Callithrix jacchus: one gene and its partners. The protein of the gene in region 7 interacts with the protein of the main gene of each other region in a biochemical or structural test. Links are inferred from orthologs where the notes say so. Each region holds a gene or a part of one and is shown on either strand. Other genes may lie near its edges.

What was found.
Region 1: the proteins of TJP1 (region 7) and CLDN4 form a complex in vitro, tested with the Homo sapiens proteins (2 studies listed by BioGRID and IntAct, with this or other methods). The link is inferred for Callithrix jacchus from reciprocal best matches to the Homo sapiens genes TJP1 and CLDN4.
Region 2: the proteins of TJP1 (region 7) and CGN form a complex in vitro, tested with the Homo sapiens proteins (2 studies listed by BioGRID and IntAct, with this or other methods). The link is inferred for Callithrix jacchus from reciprocal best matches to the Homo sapiens genes TJP1 and CGN.
Region 3: the proteins of TJP1 (region 7) and KIRREL1 form a complex in vitro, tested with the Homo sapiens proteins (3 studies listed by BioGRID and IntAct, with this or other methods). The link is inferred for Callithrix jacchus from reciprocal best matches to the Homo sapiens genes TJP1 and KIRREL1.
Region 4: the proteins of TJP1 (region 7) and CLDN8 form a complex in vitro, tested with the Homo sapiens proteins (2 studies listed by BioGRID and IntAct, with this or other methods). The link is inferred for Callithrix jacchus from reciprocal best matches to the Homo sapiens genes TJP1 and CLDN8.
Region 5: the proteins of TJP1 (region 7) and CLDN1 form a complex in vitro, tested with the Homo sapiens proteins (2 studies listed by BioGRID and IntAct, with this or other methods). The link is inferred for Callithrix jacchus from reciprocal best matches to the Homo sapiens genes TJP1 and CLDN1.
Region 6: the proteins of TJP1 (region 7) and CLDN2 form a complex in vitro, tested with the Homo sapiens proteins (2 studies listed by BioGRID and IntAct, with this or other methods). The link is inferred for Callithrix jacchus from reciprocal best matches to the Homo sapiens genes TJP1 and CLDN2.

Annotation. Positions count from the first base shown.
Region 1 is NC_133503.1:9,873,255-9,877,005, reverse strand, and holds CLDN4 (claudin-4), read left to right. Parts: upstream 1-1,459; 5' UTR 1,460-1,646; coding exon 1,647-2,276; 3' UTR 2,277-3,156; downstream 3,157-3,751. UniProt on the Homo sapiens protein: Can associate with other claudins to regulate tight junction structural and functional strand dynamics.
Region 2 is NC_133519.1:11,422,551-11,426,178, forward strand, and holds part of CGN (cingulin), read left to right. Parts: intron 1-1,723; 5' UTR 1,724-1,737; coding exon 1,738-2,616; intron 2,617-3,628. UniProt on the Homo sapiens protein: Probably plays a role in the formation and regulation of the tight junction (TJ) paracellular permeability barrier.
Region 3 is NC_133519.1:18,182,255-18,186,402, forward strand, and holds the start of KIRREL1 (kin of IRRE-like protein 1), read left to right. Parts: upstream 1-1,347; 5' UTR 1,348-1,379; coding exon 1,380-1,431; intron 1,432-4,148. UniProt on the Homo sapiens protein: Required for proper function of the glomerular filtration barrier. It is involved in the maintenance of a stable podocyte architecture with interdigitating foot processes connected by specialized cell-cell junctions, known as the slit diaphragm.
Region 4 is NC_133522.1:36,260,338-36,264,262, reverse strand, and holds CLDN8 (claudin-8), read left to right. Parts: upstream 1-1,211; 5' UTR 1,212-1,383; coding exon 1,384-2,058; 3' UTR 2,059-3,298; downstream 3,299-3,925.
Region 5 is NC_133516.1:19,268,482-19,272,665, reverse strand, and holds the start of CLDN1 (claudin-1), read left to right. Parts: upstream 1-1,359; 5' UTR 1,360-1,598; coding exon 1,599-1,821; intron 1,822-4,184.
Region 6 is NC_133524.1:103,499,383-103,503,730, forward strand, and holds the start of CLDN2 (claudin-2), read left to right. Parts: upstream 1-1,446; 5' UTR 1,447-1,570; coding exon 1,571-2,256; intron 2,257-4,348. UniProt on the Homo sapiens protein: Forms paracellular channels: polymerizes in tight junction strands with cation- and water-selective channels through the strands, conveying epithelial permeability in a process known as paracellular tight junction permeability.
Region 7 is NC_133507.1:7,945,296-7,948,923, forward strand, and holds part of TJP1 (tight junction protein 1), read right to left. Parts: intron 3,613-3,628; coding exon 3,373-3,612; intron 2,733-3,372; coding exon 1,860-2,732; intron 1,723-1,859; coding exon 1,625-1,722; intron 1,051-1,624; coding exon 823-1,050; intron 1-822. UniProt on the Homo sapiens protein: TJP1, TJP2, and TJP3 are closely related scaffolding proteins that link tight junction (TJ) transmembrane proteins such as claudins, junctional adhesion molecules, and occludin to the actin cytoskeleton.

The DNA of each region.
Region 1 (3,751 bases), on a different chromosome or scaffold from region 7:
TGGCACATCTCTCCTGGGGGCTCTGTTCCCAGAATGAGCTGCCTGGCCCACCCTCGGTCTTTGTCCCCTCCACCAGAATGTCCTCCCTTAGCCAGTCCAGTTGCCTTGCAGAACTTTTCTTTTCCTTCCTTTTTTTTTTTTGTTTTTTGAGATGGAGCCTCACTCGGTTGCCAAGGCTGGAGTGCCATGGCGAGATCTTAGCTCACTGCAACCTCCGCCTCCTGGGTTTAAGCAATTCTCCTACCTCAGCCTCCTGAGTAGCTAGGATTACAGGTGCCCACCACCATGCCCAGCTAATTTTTTTTTTTTTTGTATGTTTAGTAGAGATGGAGTTTCACCATATTGGTCAGGCTAGTCTTGAACTCCTGACCTCATGATCCACCCACCTCGGCCTCTCAAAGTGCTGGGATTACACCGTGCCCAGCTGCCTTGCAGAATTTTTCTGGAGGACCTGTTCCTGATGCTTCTGTAGCATAATCCAAGAATCCAGCACCCCCTGGAGTTGTGCCACGCTGCGCCCCTTTGCAGTCGAGATCCCCCAGCACCACTGCCTCCGCCCCGGGAGGGTTCCCCTTTCCTTTGCAATCTCCTGGGACTTTGCACCCACTCTGGCTTTATCAGAAGGTTTTGTGTCTCCACAGGGTAAACACCCATTTACGGGGCTGATGATGGCTCCAGGATCTAGTTCACGGCTTGCTGGTGACCCGCCCTACCCAGTTCTGGGCAAGCAGGCTGGACCCCGGCAGGAACAGAGCCCACCAGCCTAAACTTCTACGGAGGTGGAGGGGGCACAGGCGCTGGTGTCTTTTTGGCTGAAGGTGTATCGTGTCGCAGAAAAGCCGGGCGATAAAGATGGGTGAGAGCGAGTGATGAACCCAGGGGTCCCGGCCTCCCAGCTCCTCGCTCCCCTACATGTAACTTTATCGGACCGATGCCTCGCACATTGCTGGTGAGGTCAGATGCACTAATGATCAGAATCACAACAGGAATGAAACTGCCAGTGATGAAACGGATAAGATGACAATAATCAAGGATAAGAAAGGACAATAATCAAGGTGGGCTCAAATTTTCTCCCTGAGGGTCCCAACCTGTCCTTCCACCTAAGCCTGGAATGAGGAAGCACTGGCCTGTGGGGACCCTGGTCTTCAGGCTCCCAAACCTGGCTGGGTCTGGTGCCCCCTGACCTTGCCCTGTGAACACCCAGGTGTCCCTGGGTTATGACTCAGTGTCTGTCTGCCGGCTGATCTCAGCACGGGCTTTGAGGAAGGGGAGAGGGTAGTTTCTTCTGAGACAGGAGTGACTCAGGGGCCCAGGGTTGGGGCCTCAAAAGTGCCTTTGTTGGCCTGGGTTCAGGAATCCAGAGAAACTGGTCAAGGGGAGGCCCCAGTGAGGGAAACCCCTCCCTCTGCCCCCGCCCCTCCACCAGAGCCATATAACCGTTCAACCTGTCCCGGAGAGCGAGCGCCCTGGCAGCTGCCGGCAGGAAGGAACCGGTCTGCTCACACTCGCTGGGTTGTCCATCAGGACTCACGGAGCAAAGGAGCTCTCTGCAAGGTCAAGTCCGTCCCCAGGCTTGGAATCCTACAGCCCCCCACAGCCGGATCCCCGCAGCCTTCCAGGTCCTCGACCTCCGCGGACGCTGAGCGATGGCCTCCATGGGGCTCCAGGTGGCGGGCATCGCGCTGGCCGTGCTGGGCTGGCTGGCCGCCATGCTGTGCTGCGCGCTGCCCATGTGGCGCGTGACGGCCTTCATCGGCAGCAACATCGTCACGTCGCAGACCATCTGGGAGGGCCTGTGGATGAACTGCGTGGTGCAGAGCACCGGCCAGATGCAGTGCAAGGTGTACGACTCGCTGCTGGCGCTGCCGCAGGACCTGCAGGCGGCCCGCGCCCTCATCATCATCAGCATCATCGTGGCCGCGCTGGGCGTGCTGCTGTCCGTGGTGGGCGGCAAGTGCACCAACTGCCTGGAGGACGAGAGCGCCAAGGCCAAGACCATGATCGTGGCGGGCGTGGTGTTCCTGCTGGCCGGACTGCTGGTGATAGTGCCCGCATCCTGGACGGCCCACAACATCATCCAAGACTTCTACAACCCGCTAGTGGCCTCCGGGCAGAAGCGGGAGCTGGGCGCCTCCCTCTACATCGGCTGGGCCGCCTCGGGCCTCCTGCTGCTTGGCGGGGGGCTCCTCTGCTGTAACTGCCCACCCCGCACAGACAAGCCTTACTCCGCCAAGTATTCTGCCGCCCGCTCTGGCGCCACCAGCAACTACGTGTAAGGTGCCACGGCTCCGCTCTGTCCCTCTTGTCTTTGTTCTTCCCTGGACTGAGCTCAGCGCAGGCTGTGACCCCAGGAGGGCCCTGCCGTGGGCCACTGGCTGCCGGGGGCTGGGGACTGGGCAAACAGAGACTGAGCTAGGTAGGAGAGCAGCAGCCTTCAGCCTCTCCGGCCCACTCGGACACTTTCCCAAGGCCGCCTCCTGCTAGCAAAGACAGATGCCACCCTACTCTGGATGTTTCGGAGGGACGGAGGTGACAGGGTGTGGTGGTGGAGTGGGGAGCTGGCTCCTGCTGGCCACTTTGGGCTCTGCCCGCATCGGTGTTGGCCACTGTCCCCATTTACAGCTTCCCCACCCTGTCTGCCTGCATCTCCTGAGTCCACCTCTCTCCCTGGTGTCTCCTCTGTTCCCCGGGCAGGCCTTGATGTCACCTCTGGGACTGTGCCTTGCTCACCCAAACCGGCGCCAGGGAGTACAGCTGAGGCCTCACCCACCCACCTGCCTGGGCAGTGCAGAGTGGATGGACGGGTTTGGAGGGGAGGGGTGACTGCAATGTAAACAGGTTTGGGCAGTGGTGGGGGAGGGGGCCCAGGAGGCCACTCTGGCTGCCCAGCTCTGCGGCCTCAGGACTCTCTGCTACACCCACTTCAGCCCAGGGCCCCTGGGCCTCTAGAGACTGATCCCCTCTAAGTCCTTTGTCCCTGCCAAGGACACTAACCAGCCTGGGAGGATGGCAGGGAGGAGGGGATGGCTTCATCCTCAGAAGCCCCGGGGTTTTTGCTCCACCTTCTTTGTCGTTTCTGTTTTGTAATTTAAGAAGATCTATTCACCACTGTAATTATTATTATTTTCTACAATAAACGGGACCTGTGCACAGGAATAAGTTGTATTGTCTCCGATTTCTGCTGTGGAGGTGGGCGGGGCAGGGCTGGAGGCCTGCGCCGGGGGTCGGTGAGGAGCGGGATCACTGGGCTGTGAACACTTAAAAAGAAAAAACAGGACCCAGGGAACGGTGAGAAATTGAAGCTGGGCCGGGTGCGGCGGTGTGCACCTGTAATCCCAGCACTTTAAAAGGTGGAGGTGGGAGGATCACTTGAGGCAGGAGTCTGAGACCAGCCTGGGCAACACAGTGGCCCCATCCCTCCAAAAAGTTAAAAAACTGAGCTGGGCGTGGTGCCTGTAATCCCTGTACTTGGGGAGGTCGAGGTAGGAGGTCTGCTTGAGCCCAGGAGTTTGAGGCTGCAGTGAGCTTGGATAAACCACTGCACTCCAGCCTGGGTGACAGATCGAGAACTTAAGTCTTAACGAAAAAAAATCAAAACGGGCCTCCAAGGTATCAACTTAAGAAAGAAATTGAAAAAAAAAAAAGAAAGAAATTGAAATGGGCCTCCACAGTATCACCTAAAATTAAAACAAACAAACAAACAAAAAACAGTGAAATGGGCCCACAAGGTATCACCTAAAAAAACAATTGA
Region 2 (3,628 bases), on a different chromosome or scaffold from region 7:
CTCTAGTCCAATGCATTTTCTACTGGATGAGTGGCTTGGAGAAATGTTCTACCCTTCGGCCTTCACACACCTTTTAAGAGGGGGTGGTAAAAGTTTGTGTGTGCTGTCTCCTCGGGGAGGGTGCATCGCTTTCATCATTTCCTCATGGAGTCCCAGGGCCAAAAAGATGAAGAATTATTCCTAATAAAGGGATCTCCCCTCCCCGTTCTTTTCTCTTGAAAATTGCTGGGAATTCTAAGAATGCTCTTCTTTAGATAGGAGACCTTCCCCACCAAGCCCTTTGTCACCTGTAGCTCTGCCTCTCCCATCCCTTCCCCTCCCCTCTCATCTCACCTTCATTTCCTGGCTTGCTAGCGCTTTACAGTCTCTGAAAGGGGCCTTGCCAAGTTTCCTTGGCCCAGAGCTCCACGGGGAGGTTGAGTTGGCTATGTTTGTGTTTCTGTCTGGCACGTTAGAGGCTCCTCCTCCAGTTTGGTGCTAGGCTCTGGTAGAGACTAGCGGAAGGGGTGGGGAAGCTGAATTTTTTTATTTGCTTGGAAGATAATCTCTCCCCCGCCGAGTTCCTGGAGCCAGAGCCTACCTGGAATACATTCCATTTGCTGACTCTGAGCTCGAGCAATGTGGACCTGGGAAGCTGGCCTATGGATAGTGTTGGCTCTGGCTGTTAGCTGAGACAAGTTTACTTGACCTGGGGCTCCTTGGAGTGGCACAGTTTTTAAACCATATTTAAATCTTTTCTTGAATAGATAATACCTCCACATGGTTCCAAATTCAAAAGGGACAAAGAGATAGACAGTAAGAAAGTCCACTCCTTTCTGCTCTTCCAGAGAACAGAAACTCTCCCATCCCTGTTTCTAGTACTTACTAGAAAGGCATCACTGCTAGCAGTTTTTTTAAGTTTCTTTCCAGAAGTGGGATGATACACTTTTATTTAAAAATTTTTTTATTTATTCGTTCTTGTTACCCAGGCTGGAGTGCAATGGTGCGATCTCGGCTCACCGCAACCTCCGCCCCCTGGGTTCAGGCAATTCTCCTGCCCCAGCCTCCTGAGTAGCTGGGATTACAGGCACACGCCACCATGCCCAGCTAATTTTTTGTATTTTTAGTAGAGACGGGGTTTCACCATGTTGACCTGGATGGTCTCGATCTGTTGACCTTGTGATCCGCCCACCTCGGCCTCCCAAGTAGCTGGGATTACAGGCGTGAGCCACCAGGCACGGCTAACTTTTGTATTTTGTGTAGAGATGCAGTTTCACCATGTTGCCTGGACTGGTCTTGAACTCCTGAGCTCAAGCAGTTGGCCCGCCTTGGCCTTCCAAAGTGGTGAGATTACAGGTCACTGCTCCTGGCCATCAAGCAAAATCCTTAAACTTTTAACAAAGCCTAGCTCCCCAGGGCTGTATCAGAGGAAATGGATTCTTTTAGGTTAGTGAGTCTCAAAGTGTGGTATCTGGACCAGTAGCATCAGTATCACCTGGGGAACTTGGTTAGAAATGCAAATTCTCAGTTCCCAACCCAGACCTACTCAATCAGAAGCTCTGGAGGTTAGGTCCAGCAACCTGTATGTTAAAAGGCTCTCCAGGGGCCTCGTGTTAGTCTGAGAATCCAGTGGTTTATCTGGTAGGAACTGACAAGGCAGTCAGCCCCACTAAAGCTGGGCAAGTAGAAGTTTCATAGTTTCTAGTTAACTCTCTCAGCCTAAACTCATTTCTTCATCTTCTAGGACTCCTCCTATTCATGGAGCAGGCACCCAACATGGCTGAGCCCCGGGGCCCTGTAGACCATGGAGTCCAGATTCGCTTCATCACAGAGCCAGTGAGTGGTGCAGAGATGGGCACTCTACGTCGTGGTGGTCGACGCCCAGCTAAGGATGCAAGAGCCAGTACCTATGGGGTTGCTGTGCGTGTCCAGGGCATTGCTGGACAGCCCTTTGTGGTTCTCAACAGTGGGGAGAAAGGTGGCGACTCCTTTGGGGTCCAAATCAAGGGGGCCAATGACCAAGGGGCCTCAGGAGCTCTGAGCTCAGATTCGGAACTCCCTGAGAACCCCTACTCTCAGGTCAGGGGATTTCCTGCCCCCTCGCAGAGCAGCACATCTGATGAGGATCCTGGGACCCAGTGGAATGGAAAGCTACTCCGTTCCCAGTCCCAGGCCTCGCTGGCAGGCCCTGGCCCAATGGATCCTAGTAACAGAAGCACCAGCATGCTGGACCTAGCCCCAAAAGCGGCTTCCCCGGGCAGCACCATTGACACTGCTCCCCTGTCTTCAGTGGACTCACTCATCAACAAGTTTGACAGTCAACTTAGGGGCCAGGCCCGGGGCCGGACTGGCCACCGAACACGGATGCTACCCCCTGAACAGCGCAAACGGAGCAAGAGCCTGGACAGCCGCCTCCCACGGGACACCCTGGAGGAACGGGAGCGGCAGTCCACCAACCACTGGAACCCTAACACAAAATATGACAACCACGTGGGCAGTTCGAAGCAGCCAGCCCAGAGCCCGAGCCCGAGCCCGAGCCCTCTCAGTGGCTTAAGCCGTGCCCGTCAGACTCAGGACTGGGTCCTTCAGAGTTTTGAGGAGCCTCAGGGGAGAGCACAGGACCCTACCATGCTGCAGGTCAGACCCAGCCCCTCCGTGGCTTCCAACTGTCAGCCTCTTCTCCCTTATCATCTCCTTTACCCACTAGCCATAGGCCACCTTGCTAATTCTGGTAGCCTAGGCAGAAACTGTCCTTTTGTTCTCCGCTGTATCTGTCCAGAAAATAGGTAATATTCACATGCACAAGGTATTTCCATGGGTAAAATCCTGAAGAAAATGGACTGAGCTAAAAAATCGTTATTCACAAGTTTGGACCTAGTTGTCATTGCCACAACCATGAACTATGCTCAGTCACCAGCATTTGCCAGGTCTGCAGCACACGTAAGGCAGGCTTGGAGGACACGAGCAGTTTCCTTGGTGCTGTTGCTAAAATTCCACACCTTTCTCTCCTACTCAGGAATGTAAGTGAGGGAGCCACTTTACTTTGAGAGAAATTTAAGTTCATTTTTTTTTCTCTGTTATTTTTCTCTGCAGAGCTTGCACATAAAAAGTATATTTTTCTTTTTCTTTCTTTCTTTTTTTTTTTTTGAGACGGAGTCTTGTTCTGTGGCCAGGCTGGAGTGCAATGGCGCAATCTCGGCTCACTGCAACTTCTGTCTCCTGGGTTCAAGCGATTTTTCCGCCTCAACCTCCCGAGTAGCTGGGACCACAGGCATGGGCCACCACACCGGCTAATTTTTGTATGTTTAGTAGAGACGGTGTTTCACCATGTTGGCCAGGATGGTCTCGATCTCTTGACCTCGTGATCTACCCGCCTCAGCCTTCCAAGTAGCTGGGACCACAGGCACGTGCCTAAGTTCATTTTAAGAGTAAATTATTTATCAGCTGTAGCATGCTAACTGCCATTGGTGACAAATCACTTGCAGCACAGTTCGCAGCTGGTTGAGATGTTTGTTGGGAGAATCTGGTTGGCAGCAATAGTGTAGGGGGCATCTGCATTGGCCTCTCCCTGGCCTGTTGCTCAGGCCTCCGCAGCACGTCTTCTTTGCTGCACTTCAGAGTCGTTCATCATGCTTGAGGGGCCTTGACC
Region 3 (4,148 bases), on a different chromosome or scaffold from region 7:
AGGTGGAGACCTCTTTAGACCAGCACATTACTGTAAACTTGCGCAATTCCTGCGACTCCTCTGTTCATTCCCTAGGGTCCAGACCCTCCAGCATTCCCAGCAACCCTGTGAGCAGAAGCATCTGGTTAGGGGTGAGAAGAGGAGCTGGTTGCCAAACTGGGCCCTTAAGAAAGTGGAGATCCTTCCTGAATGCTCTTCCTTCCTAGTTCCTCCGTTCCTATCCCAAAAGATCTCAAACTCCAGCGTGCTTAGAGATCCTCTGGTGGCTGTCCTCTCCTCTGGCTTGCATTCAGGGAAGTGAGGCCAGGCCTTGGCCCTTCAAAGCCATCCAGTTGGCTAGCTTCTCCATCGGGATGGATGGAAGGCTAAGATGAACAAAAGAAGGAGTCAAGTGTGCCTCTTCCAGGCTGCTAAGTCCTCCAACGCCTAGCTGTGCTCGACCTTGTCTGGGTGAAGCCAGGACAGGGTCTCAAGGCAGGTCCAAGGGGTAGCTCCGATTCTCCAGCTCTGGGTTTTGTGGGTAGGGAGAGAGGCAGGTATGCCCCTCCCCTCTCCAAGGTTTCATTAGTCAACTGAGAAATCTTAATTTGGGGAATTTAGGGGTTAGACTTTGGGTGTGGGATTTAAAAAGAAATGTCTTTATGTTTATTTAACTCCCTGCTCCCCCACCCCACTTCTAGACACACACACACACACACACACTCCCCATCCTCTAAACTAGAGGCTATGTCCCTCAGCCGTGTTCCTCCTCCACTGCTTAGTTCCATAGCCCGCGACCAAGACTGCGTCTATAAATGGGAGGGGTGGGGTGGGCAGGGGTCCTGTCGTGCCTGCTCCAGAGCCCACGACGGTCACGTTGTTCACCCCTTTTGCCTTTGCCCTCAATTCCTTTCTGTCTTTGCTCTCCTTCCATCTCAGTTCCAGCGAGGGGTGTGCGTGTGTGCGCGAGGGTTGGGGGGGGGGAGGGGGAGGGCCCGTGGAGGGAGGCGCCGTCGGAGGGAGAGTAGACGTCAGGCGGAGGGAGGGAGGCAGACAGGCAGGGAGGCAGGGGGAGAGAGGGAAGGAAGAGAAGGGGAGAGAAAGGGGGGGCAAAAACCGAAAGAGACCCTGAGAGTTAAAGCTTGAAAGGAGAAATAATTAAAGGAGGAGGGCGACCGGGACGAGAAAAAGGACTGGGAGGAAAGAGAGATAAAGAGAATCGGAGGGCAGGGAAGTGAGTTTGTGCGCGTGAGTGTGCGCGCGCGCGCGTGTGTGTGTAGGGGCGGGCGCGGGCGGGCGGGGGGCGGGCTCCCGGGCTCCCCTCCTCCCCAGCCCGCTCCTCTAGCTCGCTCGCCAACTCCGGGCCCCAGCCGCGGGCGGGCGCACGGCGGGCGGACAGCATGCTGAGCCTCCTCGTCTGGATCCTCACTCTCTCCGATACTTTCTCCCAAGGTAAGGGCCCCCAGCCCGCCCCCGGACGCTCGGCTCCCCGCCTGGGCCCGGGCACTGCGCCCCCGCTGGGGGAGTGCTGGGGTGCTCGGCGGCCCGTGGCCAGCCTCTGGGTCCGGACGCCACGAGGCGGGGGCTCGGTCTGGGCGCAGAGCCCCGGGGGCGGAGGCGCGGAGTAACGGGGGCCTGGGGAGAATGAGTTTTCCGTTGATTTGCCCAAGTTGTTTCCTCTGGCTGCGCGGGAGAACCGAGCATTGGGGCCGCGAGGGCTGGAGGTCCGAGTAAAACGGGGAACCGAACGCTTTCTCCGAGCTTCTGGCAGCCCTACCGACCCTCGTCCTCTGAGGCCCGGGTTCCGGACGCCTGAGTCCAGGCTAAGGGGAAGGCTGGGAAGAGTTTGGGATTTCGGATTTCGGGCGAGGGGGTGAGCGGCAAGCTGGGTCCCACCTCTCGAAGATGTTGCTAAGGGGATCCCTCTACTCCAGCCCACCCTCTCTGGGGACCGAGTCTGAACCACCGCTCCAGACTGCCTGGGGATGTCCCCTCTAGAGGAAGGGAGGGGTGTCTCGGGGCCCCTCCCTCTAGAGGAAGGGCTTTGGAACCCCTGCCCGCGGAGGCTCTGAGTGGAGAGTGGAGTTCCAAATACAGCTTCAGGCCCGCTTGATACCGAGGGGGGAACTCACCGGGGCGGGGGCGGGGGCGGGGGCAGTGGGGAGAGGGGGCTGACATTTTACTTGGGCTCAGGAAAAGTGTTGATGTCTGGGGTTATTTGGAACTGGCCGGGGAGAGGCGGGGAGGTGAGGGAGGTGGTTGAGAGAGGTGAGGATGTCAGTGTATCCTGGGCAGGGCTGGGGTTGGGGGAGGGAAGAGGGCTGAGGGAACCAAGGGTCCAGAATGCAGCAAGGACTGGGGTCTGTGGGAGTTGGTTCTTGCCTCCTGGGTCTGATTCTAAGGAAGATTGAATCCTGCTGAACTCCTTCCCTTCCCAAAAATGGAGCTGACACACAGAAATTGACACACAGACACCGTAAAACATTCACAGACACTGAGACAGACTACTCACCTACCGAGACAGACACATTCCCGCAAACATCCCCCACACTGAGGCAGACACATATACACAAAGACACTGAGACATCTGAGGAAGACAGATTCCTCCCCCAGATCCGCGCATACATTCATCCACCCAAACGTTACAACTACACACAGTACATGTATGCAGGCGTTTACAAGGACAGGACACACGCTCGCACAGAAACCAACCCTCTAGCAAACAAAGAAACTTGAACCGACATTCATAAGGGCAGACACCTATGGAGAAGTGCCGACTGCAGATGGTGGAGGGGGTCTCTTTTAGGGGTGTCTGGGAATGGATCTGAGAACAGCCTCAGGCATTATTGCCCTGCTTTCAGTTCCCTTCCTGCGTTTGTAGGTTCGGTGTTATGCTGGACCTTTCCTCTCCTTGCCAAAGAAGCTCCAAAGGCAGAGCTTGGCTGAGTTGGTGGGGGCAGGTCTTGATTCATCTCTCCCCATAGGGCACCCATGCCAGCCCCCCCCAACACACATATGGGAGGGGCATACATCTCTGGTGTGCGCCGAGAGTGGGAGGTGGTGCTGGGGGAAAGGAGGAGGCCTGGCCCTGGGGTTGGCAGGCCAGGCCAGCCACTTGGCAGAAAGTTGGTAAGATGACTTAAGTTCTGACTTTGTTCAGCCAAGTTGTTGGTGTCGGGGAGGAAGGGGGGTGGGCCATGGTGGGGGTGGTAGAGGGGGCCCCTGGGTCAGTATTGGTTTACGTTGGGGGCAAGCTTACATCTGCCCCTTTCTTGCAGTCCTTGCATGTCAGCAACATGGATACAAATGAGCCTTAAGGAACAAAAGCAGCAGTTAGCAAACAGGAGAGACATGTGGATTGAATTGGGGACAGAAAGAAGTGTGTGCTGTGTGCCTTTCCCTCTGGAAAGGAGTGAGGGGCTAGGGAATGCTAAGCTCCCACCTCCCTGCTCCAACAGGGGTGAAAGCAGGACCTGATGAAAGTATCTGGGGTGGGGGGAGAAGATATCAAAGAAAGGGAGAGACTAGACAGGAGGGGAGAGAAATCACTCGTGAGTGTTGGGGGAAGCTTGGCAAGGGACCGGGGAGGAGGCGAGGAGGGAAGGAGTGGGGGTCTGGGGAGACTGGGACGCACATGGGGGTGGAGGGCTTGGCAGGACCTCCTTTCCTTAGCCTCCATCCTCAGAAAGGAGTTCTAGGTCAGGGACTGGGGCAGTGAGAGAGGAAACGGAGAAGGGCGCTACATCAGGGAGGAGGGATGGTGGCTGGGAAGTGGGGATGGGGGAAGTAGGTGTCAGGAAGAGGCCACAGAATGGAGGGGAGCAGAGAGGCGAGGGGAAGGGGAGATTCAGCCTAGGCTGAGAAATAAAAATTGCATTTTAAAGAATTTCAATGGGCTTCATCAATCTTCATTTTTCACTAAATAATTTTCTGTATCTTATCTAAATGAAAACCATTATCCTTCCCCCCGTTTCCATCATGTGCCGGCTCCACAGACTGATTGCGCCGAAAATTGAAATATTTATTCATTTTCTGGGAGATTTTCTCGCTCCCTAGTCTCAGGGAGGAGAAATTGAAAAAGAAAGATTATAGCTAATCAGAGCAATGTGGGATGACAGGCCAGCTCGGGGCGGGAGCTGCCTCCAGAGGAGGGATGGATGTGGGGGCAG
Region 4 (3,925 bases), on a different chromosome or scaffold from region 7:
TCTAATCAAGCAGAGAGAAAGTAAAATTGTAAAGGAAAGATCAGTTTCCATGATGTTAAGGAGAAAAAACAAATGGAATACAGCTTTAAGTTTGGAAAGATCGGACAGAGGGCTCAAGCTGATCTCCAGAAGAAAATTGCTAGCGGAGTCTTCTCAGATAAACATTTATGCTTCGTACAGCACCACTGTTAGATTATCATTATCTTGAGAGGAAAGTTCAAATTGTCTTGCATTTAGGGGTTTTTATGTCCTATTGCAGACATGATATTAAAAAGTAGGAAAGCAAATTTGGTTAACACCTAATATAATACAGTTTAGTAAGTATAGTTCCCTTGTCTTGTAAATATTTTATTTTAAGTTATCACCCATTTGCATAGACCCAAGGCTCTTGTGCCATCTGCAGAATTCTAGTTCCTTCAGCCCAGGAAGATAAAGCAGCAAGAATAACACCACAAAATATGCTCATAAGCTAGCAAGCTGTAAATCACTTTATGGTTTAAATGCTATAGTGCGGGCTACATAAGAAAATCATCTGGTGATATTTATTTTGGCAAAAAAAATTTATAAATGAAGATTATAAAAAAAAATGCCAATGAGTAATTTTTCTGGCTTAAAAAACTCCAATATGTTTTAGGTGCCAAGGAGAAGGACAGCCTTGTGTATTTAATTACTTTAGCTTATTTTGTCTTCTGGCATGAGCTGCTCCCTGATTTCACCCCAGCATAGAGCTTGCTTTGAAGTTGTACACAAATTAAATCAATCACTTGGATCACATGTGTCCCAAAGAATGTGGTTTCCCAGGTAAAAGCAATCTTTCAATCCCCTATCCTCGTTTCACTTTGGCATTTCGACAGCGTTGCAGAATTCTCCGGCAGTTATTTTATTTTATCCCTTGGTCCCAGCAGCTCTTACTAAGAGTATCAGAATTGCCTGTACAAGGTGCACCTTTCACATTACAAGGGATTGGCTCATTTCTGGATGCTTATGCAACCACTTACAATTATGCCTACAGGTAAACATACTGCTGTCTTCTTGGAAGACTGTGAAGTATAAAGAATGTTTATGTGCAGGTCTAGCCGTTCCAAGTACCCAAGTGTTGGTTTAGACTCACCTCGGTTACCATCCAACTCTCATTGGCTGAGAAAGTTGCCGCACCTGATTTGTAAGTTTCCCTGTTGAAGTCAATAGCAGGGGCAGCTCAGCCAGCCAGCACTGGATTTTATCTAGCCAGAAGTAGCAAAGCAGCTCTTATTTGAAAAACCACTGGGTTCTGAGTTCATTACTCCAGGAAAAACTGTTCTATCCTGTGGCACAGTGAACCTTGCTTCAAAGCAGACCTAGCAGCTCAAGAGTCCAGGCGGCTGAAACCCATCCCAGAGGATAATGGCAACCTATGCCTTACAAATTGCTGGACTGGTGATTGGTGGTGTTGGCATGGTGGGCACAGTGGCTGTCACCGTCATGCCTCAGTGGAGAGTGTCTGCCTTCATTGGAAGCAACATTGTGGTTTTTGAAAACCTCTGGGAAGGACTGTGGATGAATTGCGTGAGGCATGCTAACATCAGGATGCAGTGCAAAATCTATGATTCTCTGCTGGCTCTTTCTCCAGACCTACAGGCGTCCAGAGGACTGATGTGTGCTGCTTCCGTGATGTCCTTCCTGGCTTTCATGATAGCCATCCTTGGCATGAAATGCACCAGGTGCATGGAGGACAGTAAGGTGAAGGGTCACACTCTGCTGACGGCTGGAATCATCTTCATCATCACAGGCATAGTGGTGCTCATCCCTGTGAGCTGGGTTGCCAATTCCATCATCAGAGATTTCTACAACCCAATAGTGGATGTTGCCCAAAAACGTGAGCTTGGAGAAGCCCTCTACATAGGGTGGACGACGGCACTAGTGCTGATTGCTGGAGGAGCCCTGTTCTGTTGCGTTTTTTGTTCCAATGAAAAGAGCAGTAGCTACAGATACTCGATACCTTCCCATCGAACAACCCAGAAAAGTTATCACACGGAAATGAAGTCACCGACTGTATACTCCAGAAGTCAGTATGTGTAGTTGTGTATTTTTTTTAACTTTACCTATAAAGCCATACAAATTACTAAATTCTCTATTATTTTCTCAAAATGGACCCCCAGGAAACTGATTTGCTGTTCTTAACTGCCTAACCTTAATCACAGGAACTGTGTATCAGCTATTTATGATTCTACAAGCTAGGTCAGCAGAATAAGATATTGTTCTAGAAAGTACTAGATTGTTCTAGAAAGTACAGTAATTTGTTTTCTAAGACGGTTCAAACATTTACTCTTTTTATCAGTTACTTCAAAATGACATTGCTAATGACTATATTATTTTACCATTGTAATTTCTCCATGACTTAGCATTACATACATAGATGAGTGTAACATTTATATCTCACGTAGAGACATGTTTATATGATTTTATTTAAAATGAAAAACCTATCCATTACACTGAATAAATACAACTCAACTATTGCTTTTCCAGGAAATCATGGGTAGAATTGAAGAAGGTTAATATTAATTGTATAAAAACAGCTTAGGGATTAATGTCCTTCATTTATAATGAAGGTTAAAATGAAAACTTTAATCAGCATTGTAAAGGAAATTGAATGGCTTTCTGATATGCTATTTTTTAGCCTAGGAGTTACAAATTCTAACTCCTTTATCCTCTTCTCCCAGAGGCTTTTTTTTCCTTGTATATTAAATTAACATTTTTAAAAAGCAGATATTTTGTCAAGGGGCTTTGCATTCAAACTACTTTTCCAGGGCTGTACTCAGAAGAAAGATAAAAGTGTGATCTAAGATTGTTTTAGGAAAGTGAATTTTTTTTTTCCTATTATGTTTTTGTATTTGAAGAAGAACGATGCCTTTTGGCAAGAAATCATGTATGTATGGGTCTATTTAATACATATTTGAGTACAGACCTTGAGGTTTCATCAACATAAGTAAAAGAGCAGGAGAGTATGTCTGGGTTTTCATTTGGCTACCATAAAAACAACAACAAAAATAAAGTTAGCCTTTGAAAACTTCACCGGCTCCTTTGCAAGTACATAAATCATTTAGTGTCATTTTAGTTCTGTGAAAAATAAATATCCTACTTGTTCCATTTCTGTTAAGTTTTACCAAAATCTGTAAATAGTGTGTTTGTGTGTATTCCAAATTTGATAAAACTGACAATCCAATCTGAAAGTTTGTGTCTACATCCGTCTAGCTTAAATGAATGTGTTCTATTTGCTTTATACTTTCATATTAATAAATTGTACCTTTTTATAATTATTTGACATTCTTTCACTAGTCTCCTTTTGTTTTATTAATTTGCAGAAGAGTTGAAAAACCTGATATTTTTTATTGTCCAAATTGAGAATGTCAAAGTTACCTTTGAAAGATAAACATAGCATTAATTTTTGAAAATATAAATTACTCTATGCTATTTATCAGCAATGATCCTTATAATCATTGGATCTCTATACCAATATTCAATGCAGATAATGTATTTATAATTTAAGATAGTACTATAGATTCACACAAATCTATATGTTATAAATATTATGTATATAACAGCTGTGTTTTAAATTTTTTCTGTAGCTAAATATATATTTCTACTTCTGGGAAATAATAAATAACAGTGGCTAATGTTCTGGGGGCATATTTTGCTGGGACCTCTAATGCTTATATGAATTATGATATTAAATCTTTTACAGGACAGATAGTTCAAAGGTGAGGCTGACTCTGAACAGTTCATTGATTACCCAGTAGAATCAGGAGATATAAAAAGGGCTGTCTGATCTCATAGCTCAATACTCTTTCTCTCGGGGAAAGTGAATTTTTTTTTCAGCAGTGTCTAGTTTAGAAACTAATTTTTGTGAAAATGACACGCTTAACTACTATGAGTTGGGAAAACTTAT
Region 5 (4,184 bases), on a different chromosome or scaffold from region 7:
TGTCCCCAAATCCTAGTATGGCCAAGTTCTTTAGCTATAAGCTGTCCCAAAAGGCATCCAGAGAGCGCCAGGTGGAAATGACAGGAGGGCTTGGCCTTGCCTCCCATTCCCATCTTGAGCATTCGCGCTTTTCCTTCTCTGTCACTAACTAGCAGCTGCCCATGGTATACAAGGGTGGATCTTTTTTTCTCCTTCATATGTTTATCTCTGCCTCTAAGGATCTTCTGCTTTTACTAAAACCACAGAAGCTTCCCCTCCCACCACACTCGCACCACACACAAAAAGCAGTTGGAAAAACATTTCAATTATTCCCAACCACAGCAGCACTTCTGACTAACTGCAAAGAAGGAAGCTTTAGAGACCCTAGAGGAAAACAAACATCCCAGAGAGACCAAAAAGGGAGGGGTGGCATACCCAGTTGCAGTGAAAGCCAGAACTTCCTAAAAGCCCGGCCCTCCTAAACTCCAGCGCAGTCTTTTCTCCACTGGGGAAGCACTGTTTACATGCCCTCACCTGTGACAAACAACATTTGGTAATTCACAAAATTAACACCTTTGAGGGAGAGCGGACCACTGGCCAAGTCCCTCTGATAATGAATTGCTGCTATAAGACATAACTGCTGTGGGGAAGAGGTTGGTGTTTGGCAGGCGAGGGCTGCTAGGCTGCATTTTCGTAAGGGCAATAATACATCAAAAGGACAATCACAGATCAAAGGGCATATTTTTGGGTCAATTTGGTATGTGGTGGAAAGCAGATTGGGAGGGGAGCCAAGTACTGATATGCTCGTGTGTGTGTGTGTGCGCGCGCGCGCGTGGATCATGTTGCTCTCTGGGTCTCAGCTTCCCAATCTGTAGAGTGTATAGATCTCTGGGGGCCGTCGGAGAGACAAGTGATGGAAAGAGCTTGACAGAAGGGGGCAGGGGAAAGGAGAAAGGGGAGGAAGCTGAGCAAAGGAGAGAGAAATGTATGTGAGATGCGGGAGGAGATGCGGAGTTGGGTAGACATGTCTTTCAATAAGATATTGGGAAAAAGTATTAAAGCTAAAACCGCAGCTCTTGAGGGCTCATTTCTTCATCGTTGTTTTTAGGATTTACAGGTACAGTGCATAGTAATTTTTGGATGATTGGAGTGAGTGAATGAAAAGCGTGAAACTCCTGACAGGAGCGAGGAGATCCACGAGAGAAAGGAGCAGCGACGCAGCTCTGGTGCCTGGTCCTGCGGGGAGGTCCCCACACCGCCCGCAGCGCGTTCCCCCCGCCCCCTCCCGGTGAGCCGCCCCGAAACCGCCAGGGGGCGCTCCCCGGCTGCAGGGCTGAGGCGGGCGGAGCTGATTTAAATCGCGGCGCCCAGCGGTTTGGCGTCTCAGTTCCTGAGCTCGGGAGCAACCGCAGCTTCTAGTACCCAGACTCCAGCGCCGCCCCGGACCCGGACCCCGACCCGGACCCAGAGCTTCTCCAGCGGCTGCGCAGCGAGCTGGACTCCCCGCCTTAACTTCCTCCGCGGGGCCGGGTCACCTTCGGGAGTTCGCGTTGCGCACCTGCAAACTCTCCGCCTTCTGCACCTGCCACCCCGAGCCAGCGCGGGCGCCCGAGCGAGTCATGGCCAACGCGGGGCTGCAGCTGCTAGGCTTCATTCTCGCCTTCCTGGGATGGATCGGCGCCATCGTCAGCACTGCCCTGCCCCAGTGGAGGATTTACTCCTATGCCGGAGACAACATCGTGACCGCCCAGGCCATGTACGAGGGGCTGTGGATGTCCTGCGTGTCGCAGAGTACCGGGCAGATCCAGTGCAAAGTCTTTGACTCCTTGCTGAATCTGAACAGTGAGTGCACCCCCACCTCACAGCCGCCGTCCAGAGGCCCCAGTCCCCCTGCCGTTCCCTTATGGGCTCATTCTGTCGTGTGATTACATGGTTATCAGTCTGGAGTTGATCAAGTCTTCTGATGACGTGCTCTGTCATAAGCAAATGCGAATCCTGGTTTGAGACAAGGGATGCCCAGGCATAAGCTCTAGTGTTGCCTCTAACTCCCTAGGTGGCACTTTTCTGCCACACTAGGTGTGGCTTCATCTGAAATTCCTATGCTGGTGGGTCGAGATTGAGAGAGTGAAGGCCAGACTTGAACTTGAGCTCTTAGGCCTCTCCTAGACATGCTCCTGGTAACTACTCAGGTGTGCAAGCTTAAAAATCCTCAAGTATTAGATCGATTTTTTAATCTTTACTATGATTTTTCATAGCAAAAGTTACATCCCTACTTGAAATATCCTATCTAAGTGTCTGCTACTCATACTTCAGGTTGATTCTTTCCATTTTTAAGATTCAGTTAGTGCAGCGAGGCCTCTTGCAAGACTCCTTGGAGAAGCCACTTGAGTTTCCCACAAAGTTTTAACTTTTAGACCCAACGTCTTCAGTAGAGTCTGATTGTGTAGTGCTATCTTGGAATGAAAAGGTTGGTGGCAGGTGGCAGAAGCCAGACAAGAAAGGTTCGAAATAACCTGCCCAACATAATACAAAGGGGAAAGTAAAGACACTGAAGGGAAATGCAGCAAAATAGTCACAGCTGATGAAATGAGAGGTCAGCTGGGAGCAGGAGGCAGTGAGAAAGAAAGAAGAGGTGCGTCTTTCAGGTTTCCATCTTCCACAAAGGAATTTCTGTGCCATGGATGTTCAGTGACCCCTTGTCAAGTTGGAAAGGACTGTATAGAGAGACATATTTCTAAGCATGGTGGAAGAAGGATAATAGGATCTTTGTTTTTACATATGTTTTTTAAATTAAAGGTTTTGAGTGTATTGTCAGAAAAATCGTTAAATACCCATTTACTTAGGTAATAATGATTCACTGCTGGAGTATCTTCCTTGAGAAATCACATTAATTGTCTTATATCATATGTTTGTTATTCCCTTCAACTAACTTGAAGAAAAGGTCCCTCAGTCTTTGCCTAGATAAACATGACTGCCCACTGGCCCCCATGGAGTGCTAAGGGTAAGAAGTGTTGCCATTGTTCAAGTTTACTTAACTTGTTTTGTTCACCTCCTATCAAAGAACAACTTTTAATAGGGTATGTCAAAAGCTGTATAGTTTAGTTATTAAGCCTGTTCCAAATCTGTTTAAACACCTTGAGTACCTGTGGCATTTGCTCAATGTGCATGGTCGTTTTGAGTGTTATTTCAGCTTTTGAAGGTTTCCATATTAGGACTTCTTTAAACCAAAACCAATCTATAATTTTGGTAATTATGTGTTGCTTATTGCCCTCATAGGTTGTATTTGTATTTATAAAGTGAAAAATTTGGCAATAATTATTGAATTTCTCCATGGAAAGATAAGTATATTTAAGGAAATGGTGTCGGGCATTTTAGGTACCACATGAAGGAATTGGAGGCTGGAGAAGTTTCTAAGAACAATTCCAGAGAGGTCTCACTCTCAGTTTCATTGCTCTGGTCAAAATAGTCCATTTTTGACATCTTAAAATAGGTTTTCCTTTAACTTCCTTAAATAAACAAATGAAATCAGATTGATCCATGTTGTAAGTATTCAAATGGATCATCCTTACATGATAATGTGTTAAAACATTTTGCTTTCATTTTTTGGATAATATAGTTATTAAAGTTTTTAAAACTGTGGTGAAAGGACTAAATATCTATCCCCCCACACACACAATTTAGAGATGTCTTCCTTTTTTTTTTTTTAAATTCCAGATCAGAATCCACTTTTGTTTTACTGAAAGCCATAATTTATCCAAGGTGTGGCTTAGGCTTTTCTCTCAAAACCAATTCTCGGAAGAGAGACCCTTGACTCACAGGTTCTCTCTCCTAACCTGCCATGACTCACTGGATGCTTTTGGATGGAGCCCAGGAAACTTTTCTCCATTCCTCTGCCTGAGCAGTGGTGTTCACGCCCACTAGCTGTAGAGATCTAGGGTGGTGATTCATTGGCTGCTTTTGGTATAGTTTTGTTACATCTAGAGAGGAAAAGGGTTATGTGTGCATATTTAAGCTGTATCCCTCATAAAAAAGCTGCATTTCCTTGAGTGTCTTTAGGTGAAAAGCTTAGCTGTTGGTTTCCTGGAATTGTACCTTGCTGTCTTTCCCAGTAGAGCACACTTGATGTCTTAGAGTACAGATGCAGGGTTTTATCAAGGCTTTAGCACTGGAAGTATTAAAATATCTTGATTTCCTGCTTTGATGTA
Region 6 (4,348 bases), on a different chromosome or scaffold from region 7:
TAAGTTATGGGGGCAGATGATTTTGCTCACAGACAGAGTGTTAATTGAGAAAAGGATGGACTTCTGAAGAATATTCACATTTAAGAGATGAGTAGAAGAATAGAAACCTTGAAGAAGGCTAAAATGCGATAGCCAGATTGTGGTGGGCTGAAAAATTCGTGGGTTAGGCTGGGCACAGTGGTTCATGCCTGTAGTCTTAGCACTTTGGAAGGTTAAGGCAGGCGAATTGCTTACACGCCCGAATTCAAGACCAGCATGGGCCACATGGCAAAACCCTGTCTCTGCAAAAAATACACACACACACAAAATTAGCCAGGCATGGTGCTGTGCACCTGTAGTCCCAGCTACTTGGAGGGTTGAGGCAGGAATATCACCTGAGCCCAGGCGGTCGAGGCTGCAATGAACCGAGATCATGCCACTGCACTCCAACCTGGGTGACAAAGTGAGAACCTGTCTCAAAAAGAAAGAAAAATTAGTGGGTCAGAGGGTCTTGTAGAGAATGGGGAGGTGTGCCCTTGACCCTTACTGTCCTGAACCTTGGTAACACTGAGGGATCCTTGAACACTGCAAAGTCCTATAAGGCTCTGAAATTCCAAAGCATTGACTCAGATACCTGCCTCATGCAAAGTCCTATATTCTAGAGCAGCTTGCCTTTCCTCTGTGGCAGACCCTTGTGCCCCTAACAGATTACCCAGAGAATTTCAGGGCTCCCTCTCAGTCCTAGAACTCTTGCTCTAGAGTGCTCCCTCATCATCTGAGAGGTTGATGAGGGGGGCATCTATTAGGAGACTGGACAGGAAATGTCTGGGCATGTTACACATGCAGAAGGCCTTAGGCCAGGCTACAGAGGGGGATTTGGGCATGGCTGGGAGGATCTGAACTCTCAAACTATGGACAGAAGACTTTATTGCCTACCCTCATCTGCCCTGGAGAAGATTTTCACCATGGGCAGGGGGATTCCAGGCTAGGCCACTAGCCTGGAGATTCAAGATGCCTCTAACAAGCTGGAGTCCAAGACTACATTCTAGAATCTGTTCCTCCTGATGCGATCTGCAGTTTGGCCTCAGTCTGCAACTGAGGGGCCTTATGGCCCTGTTTCTTGGCAACGTATTAAACAGCAGGCCTTGGAGACTAGCATTTGAGTTAACACAGTCACCACAACCGCCACTGCCATCATCACCTTCCCGGAAGGCAGCCACCTGTCTGGCTCCTGGCTTTGTCCAGATGCCAACCTAAGGCATGCGCCTACGCAGGAGGCGATGACATTTTGGCTCCACATTCAAAGTTTTTTTTTCCTTTCTCATGTGTTATTTTAAAAGATAACAAAGGTCAAAAGGCATCTAGCATTTTCTGGTTTCTCATAAGCTTCTGGTCAATATTTAATCTGGTTTATGGATTGTTTTAGGTCTTCTACATGCCTTCTTGAGCCTGCTTGTGGCCACCCACAGACACTTGTAAGGAGGAGAGAAGTCAACCTGGCAGAGAGACTCTGAAATGAGGGATTAGAGGCATCCAGGAGCAAGAGCTTCAGTCTGAAGATAAGGGAGCAGTCCCTGAAGACGGTTCTACCATGGCCTCTCTTGGCCTCCAACTTGTGGGCTACATCCTAGGCCTTCTGGGGCTTTTGGGCACACTGGTTGCCATGCTGCTCCCCAGCTGGAGAACAAGTTCTTATGTCGGTGCCAGCATTGTGACAGCAGTCGGCTTTTCCAAGGGCCTCTGGATGGAGTGTGCCACACACAGCACAGGCATCACCCAGTGTGACATCTATAGCACACTTCTGGGCTTGCCCGCCGACATCCAGGCTGCCCAGGCCATGATGGTGACATCCAGTGCAATCTCCTCCCTGGCCTGCATTATCTCTGTGGTGGGCATGAGATGCACAGTCTTCTGCCAGGAATCCCAAGCCAAAGACAGAGTGGCAGTAGCAGGTGGAGTCTTTTTCATCCTTGGAGGCCTCCTGGGCTTCATTCCTGTTGCTTGGAATCTTCATGGGATCCTGCGGGACTTCTACTCACCACTGGTGCCTGACAGCATGAAATTTGAGATTGGAGAGGCTCTTTACTTGGGCATTATTTCTTCCCTGTTCTCCTTGATAGCTGGAGTCATCCTCTGCTTTTCCTGCTTATCCCGGAGAAATCGCTCCAACTACTATGATGCCTACCAAGCCCAACCTCTTGCCACGAGGAGTTCTCCAAGACCTGGTCAACAACCTCCTAAAGTCAAGAGTGAGTTCAATTCCTACAGCCTGACAGGGTATGTGTGAAGAACCAGGGGCCAGATATGGGGGGTGGCTGGGTCTGTGAAAAACAGTGGACAGCACCCCGAGAACCACAGGTGAGGGACATTACCACTGGATCGTCAGAAGGTGCTGCTGAGGACAAACTGACTTTGGGCATTGGATTGAGCAAAGGCAGAAATGGGGGCTAGTGTAACAGCATGCAGGTTGAATTGCCAAAGATGCTCGCCATGCTAACCTTTCTGTTTTCCTCACCTTGCCGCCCCCCTTCCCTGAATCCCCAACCCTCAACTTGAAACCCCACTCCCCTACTTTGAGCCAGGCCCCAGATGATCCCTTTGCCCTTTGGTTTAGCTGGGACTCCATCCCCACACCCACTAATCACATCTCACAGACTGACCCTCTCTCTGGCTGAGTTGGCTCTTAGCTCTTTGCTGGGGACGGGAAGGAGAAGCGGTGGCTTTTGTGGACATTGCTCTAACCTACTTATCAAGCCTCCCTCCAAAGAAACAGACTGGCCCTGGAACCTCCATCCCACTCTTGTTATGACTCCACAGTGTCCAGACTAATTGTGCATAAACTGAAATAAAGCCATCCCACAGTATCCAGGGAACAGAAAGCAGGATGTAGGATGGGAGGATGGGAAGGCAGCCTGGGACATTAAAAAAAAAAAAAAAAAAAAAAAAAGCAGAACCCATTTCCCAGGGCACTTTCCAGAATTCCCTCATATTTGTGGTCAGAGGATTGAGCCTGTGGCTTAAGGAAAGCACAAGGAAAGGAAAAAAGATCTGGTGGAAAGCTCAGGTGGCAGCAGACTCTGACTCCACTGAGGAACAGCCTCAGAAGCTGTGATCACAACTTCACTGAAGCCCCTGCCTCCCTCTGGGGCACCTGTCCTGTCTTCCTGCCTAAACCACAAGGCTAAGGGCTACAGACAATGGTTTCCTTAGCAACAGTGAACTAGTTTTTCTAGAGATTGCCCTTGGCTGGGGGATGACAGTGTGGGATCTATGGATCAGTACACACACAGGATGGAGCAGTGTATCTACTGAGGAAGATACCATTCCTTGATGCTAGCCAAGAAAGAATAAGAACCTTGGTGTCTAAGAAACCGGGTGGATGTGTATGGTGGCTCCAGTGGGTGTTTCTACTATGTCAGCAAGAGGCAGCCCCCCAGAATGTCTTCAGGCATAATGGAAAATCAGCTCAAGTGAGATCAGGCCCCCTAGGGTCCACCCACAGAGCACTACAGAGCCTCTGAAATACTACAGCACCAGGTGAACCCCTTCAGATTCCCCCCACTGTCCATCAGATGTTCTAGAGTGGCTAGAGGGCATCCAAGAGCTCCAGCATGGCATATCCATGCCCACCGTGTTATGTCCATGATCTGAGTGATAGCTGCACTGCTGCCTGGGATTGCAGCTGAGGTGGGAGAGTGGAGAATGGTTCCCAGGAAGACAGTTCCACCTCTAAGTTCTGAAAATGTTCCCTGGAATGGGAGTAGGAAGTCATATACCAAAGATTTTTTCCCTCACCAGTCTCAGCATGACCGACTACTGAAAAACTCCAGCACACCTCCTCGAACCTCAGTGTCAGCAGAGAGGGCCCATGTGTTGTCTGTAACATGCTTTTCCCATGTCCACTTTCTTGCCTACGTTCCAGCTGCTCTCCCAACCTGGAAGGCCTTCTACCCTTAGCCAAGTCCTACTCAGGCTTGGAGAACTTGCTCAGCATCACTTCCTTCATTGAGCCTGCTCTGATCACTCCATCACTCTCCTACCCCACCCTCTCCCAACCCTCAATGTGTAAATTGCTTACTGATGCTTAGCATTCACAATTTTGATGGATCATTATTTGTGTCTGTGTGTCCGATCTCATAAATACACTGTAAACTCTTTGGTGGGTGGGGGCTATATCCTAGACCTCTCTGTTTCCCCCAGACTATCTGTAACAGTGGCACACAGTAGGTGATCAATAAACACTTGTTGATTGAGTAACTGTCTTATTGATTAAAAGGGGCCCAGAACGGGCAAGTGAAACTGGAGGGATTTCGGCTAAGGTGAGGGGAGGGTGGAAACTGGCATTTCTTTCCACAGGGTGGATAAATAA
Region 7 (3,628 bases):
TTCTGTTGAGGTACGAACCTATCTGTGTGCCTGTGTGGGCTCAGACCCAACTATCAGTACCAAATTCTCTTATCAGCCATGTGGCTTCACTTGAGGTTTCTGAGGTTCTGGGATCCTAACAGATAATGAATGACAAATGGAACAACTTTTTAGATATTAAGGTTAAGAAGGAAGTAGAATACGTAAGTCTTATCTTGACCAAAAGGTTAATAACCAGAGACACAGAACCAGCAGGAGACACAAACCCACATAAGGCACAAGAAAGAGCAAACCAACATGAAACCCAGGGACAAGTAAACAGACAGGAACAGCAAGCACAGGGAAAAGATGACTGGGAATCAAGAAACTTGGGGTTCAGTCCCAGCTGTGCCCTCACCTGTAAAACCAGATCAAAAATCTTGCCAAAAAAAAAAAAAGTTCTTTCTTGCCTTGAAAAAAACAAAAAAACACAAAAAGCAAACCTCTTTGGTATTTCCCTCAGACAGGATCCTCCCACATCTGTTTTTATATTTAAAAAATAAACATGGAAAAGAACCAGCATAAGGTCATTAGGTGTGTGTACAGAAATGAAGACTGATGACTGCCTAGTGCTGAGGGTCCTTGCAGCTGACACTGTCTTCTGTCAAAACTCTGTGACGTTAGCATCTTTGTGAATGCAAAAACTGTGTACATCTAATAACAGACTTTAAAGACAAAACACACATCCCAGAATTAAAAAGCATGAAATCATAATTACACTTAAACTATTTTTCTTCAAAATATGTTGGACTTCACGATTAATATGCTGCATCCTATTTTTAAAAGCCAGGTGAAATAACTTACTTTGAAGAATAACTAGAAAAATTTGATTGATTCTGAGAATGAGCTGGCTTTGCAGGCTCAGAGAGATGGCTGGCAGCAACGTGTGCAGGAGGCTTATTTTCAAAACTTCTTCGGTCAAAGTATGAGAGCTGTTTTCGATAATATTCTTCATCTTCTTCAGGGTCATAATGATTTGACCGAACGATATCTTCAGGTGGCTTCACTTGAGGTTTCTGAGGTTCTGGGATCCTAACAGATAATGAATGACAAATCGAACAACTTTTTAGATATTAATGTTATGAAGGAACTGGAATATATAAGTCTTATCTTCACCAAAAGGTCAATAATCACTAACTGCTGTGATTACTCAGGATCTAACTGAGCAGTCCAACAGTTAAAATAGGTATTTCAAATCCCATGTCCTCACAGAGCAAACTCACAAGGCAGCCCCCTTCTGGCTCATGAGTCCTTTAACACAATGTAATAACCTAAATGACTATATGATTAGGGGGACAGCAGGGTAAAAGCAGTTATTACAAAGAGAAAGGGGAATGTAACCAAGGCAGTGAAGAACATCTTGAGAAGTACATATACCAATGTCAAGAACAGTCAATGATAGACCTGAAGAACTTTCAAAGGGATTTTTGAGAACTTCGTCCAGGATCTCAATGATTCACGTATGAGCAAATCACTCTATACGCTCTAAAGTTCTAGAAGGCATAGAAAGCAGATGAGGAAGAAAGCAAGTCATGAAGTAAATTCACGTAGAGAGGGTTAAATTCCCAGGCAGTTCTAGGCCGCAAAGGGCACAAAGTGCACTCACCTGTACAGAGTTTTGTCATGTTCACTGAACTGATTCTGAGAAGTGGGTTTGGGACCAATGATGGGAGCACCTTGAGGTTTAGATGCTACTTCTGGAGGCTGTTAAAAAAAAAAAGACAAATACACCTAAGGAACAGATAACTACTGAATAGATGTCATGTAACGGGGGAGGGAAGAGCAAAGAAGCCTTTAAATGAGTGTACCTCATTTAAAAGAAGCCTTTTCATTTAGTGTACCTTAAAACCAGCAGTGTCATTTACATCCTTCTTGGTCTCTAAGGATGCAGATCTTTTGTTTTCAAACATCTTTACTCTGGTGAGCACAGACTGTGGCTTCATTGCTGGATCTTCTTCTTCTTCACTTAGAGTTGGGGGTGGAGGCAGTGGTTTGGTATTTGAAGGCAGACCTTCTGGCTTATGCTGAGATGAAGGTATCAGCAGAGGGACAGCTGCAGCACCATGGAGAGGCTCAAAATGACCTGCTCTAGAGGCAAATCCTTGGGGTGGTACTTGGTCGTAACTGCGTGAGTATTGCTCAAAATACTGCTTGGGCTCTGTGGGTTTGGGCCCTACCAAAGGGTAGGGCTGGGCTTCTGGTCTATGTCTACCATGTGTGTCATACCCAGCAGCTGGCTGCTCTTCGTGCCGCAGGGTGGATGCTCTAGGGGCCTGTTCATAACGTGGTCTGCTATCATAGGACAGAGGGGCTGGCTCTTCAAAACGTGGAAAGTACCCTCGTTCTGAGGACTCTTCGGGATGCTGTCTGGAGTCAAGGTCTCGAGAGTGCTGATTTTCAAAAGGTGGCCGAGACGGGTAGGGCTGTTTGTCATCATAATATGACCACTGTTCTTCATACATAGGGACACGATCTTCATATCGCAGACGATGGTCATAGTTTCGAGAAAACTGGTCCGTATAGGTTGAGGACTCATATCTGTATGTGGGCTGCTCAAGATCTCTGCTGGCTTGTTTCTCTACGTATGGGAGTTGGGGTTCATAGGTCACATTAGGCTCTTTGTCTGGCCTGTGCCCTGAGTGACCAACGGCTGGCTGTTTGAAAACATGGTTCTGCCGCATCATTTCCTCGGGATATGGATCCTTTCTATATGCCTGTGTAAAAAATTCACAGTTAAGGACAGTCTTGTTTTTAATTCTAGTCTATTTTATTAGATTATGATTAAATATTAAACTATGATTTAATACGTGATAATGGTATGTTATACCATTTATTATCAGGATAGACAAGATTAGTGGAAAAAGCTGGTTTAAGTGAAAGCTCAAAATTTATAATGCAGGTAGTGGCTATTACGTTTCAGCATGTACTAAATAGTGAGTTAAAGATAAATATTAAATTTAGTAGAAAATTAATGCACTATTGATTACACTTCATTTTGACACTGAAAAATCCGCAAGAAAATTTATGAGCATCATAATTTGTATTAACATAAGTATGTTTCTGATGGGTCTCAATTACGTATTAAGGAATTCTGGAAGATACTGAAAGCCAAAAATAAAAATAATAAACATAATAAGCACGAATCTCAATTAAAAGGCCTGTTTTCAAATAATCAGTGTACCACTGGAAGCCATGCAAACTCCAAAACTGAAATGATTTGATTGATGTGAAAGCATTACAGTGTATAAGCCTGCAGTAAAAAAGCAAAAGGAACACTTAAAGGGCAAAGCAAAAATGATCATGTGCCAGATTGATGGAGAGCAACAAATTAGGACAACACTGCAGCACAGGTACCTTTGTTGGATCTACATGCGACGACAATGATGGTTCTTGATCTCTTAGCATTATGTGAGCTGCCTCAGTACTTGGTGTTCTTAAAGAATCAGCTTGTGGTGAGTAAGAGGTGGAAGGAGCTGGGGTGGGCTCCTCCAGTCTGACATTAGTTAAATTTACATTATGATTAACAGCAGAGGTTGATGATGCTGGGTTTGTTTCAGGCGAAAGGTAAGGGACTGGAGATGAAGCTTCTGCTTTCTGTGAAGTGTTTAAA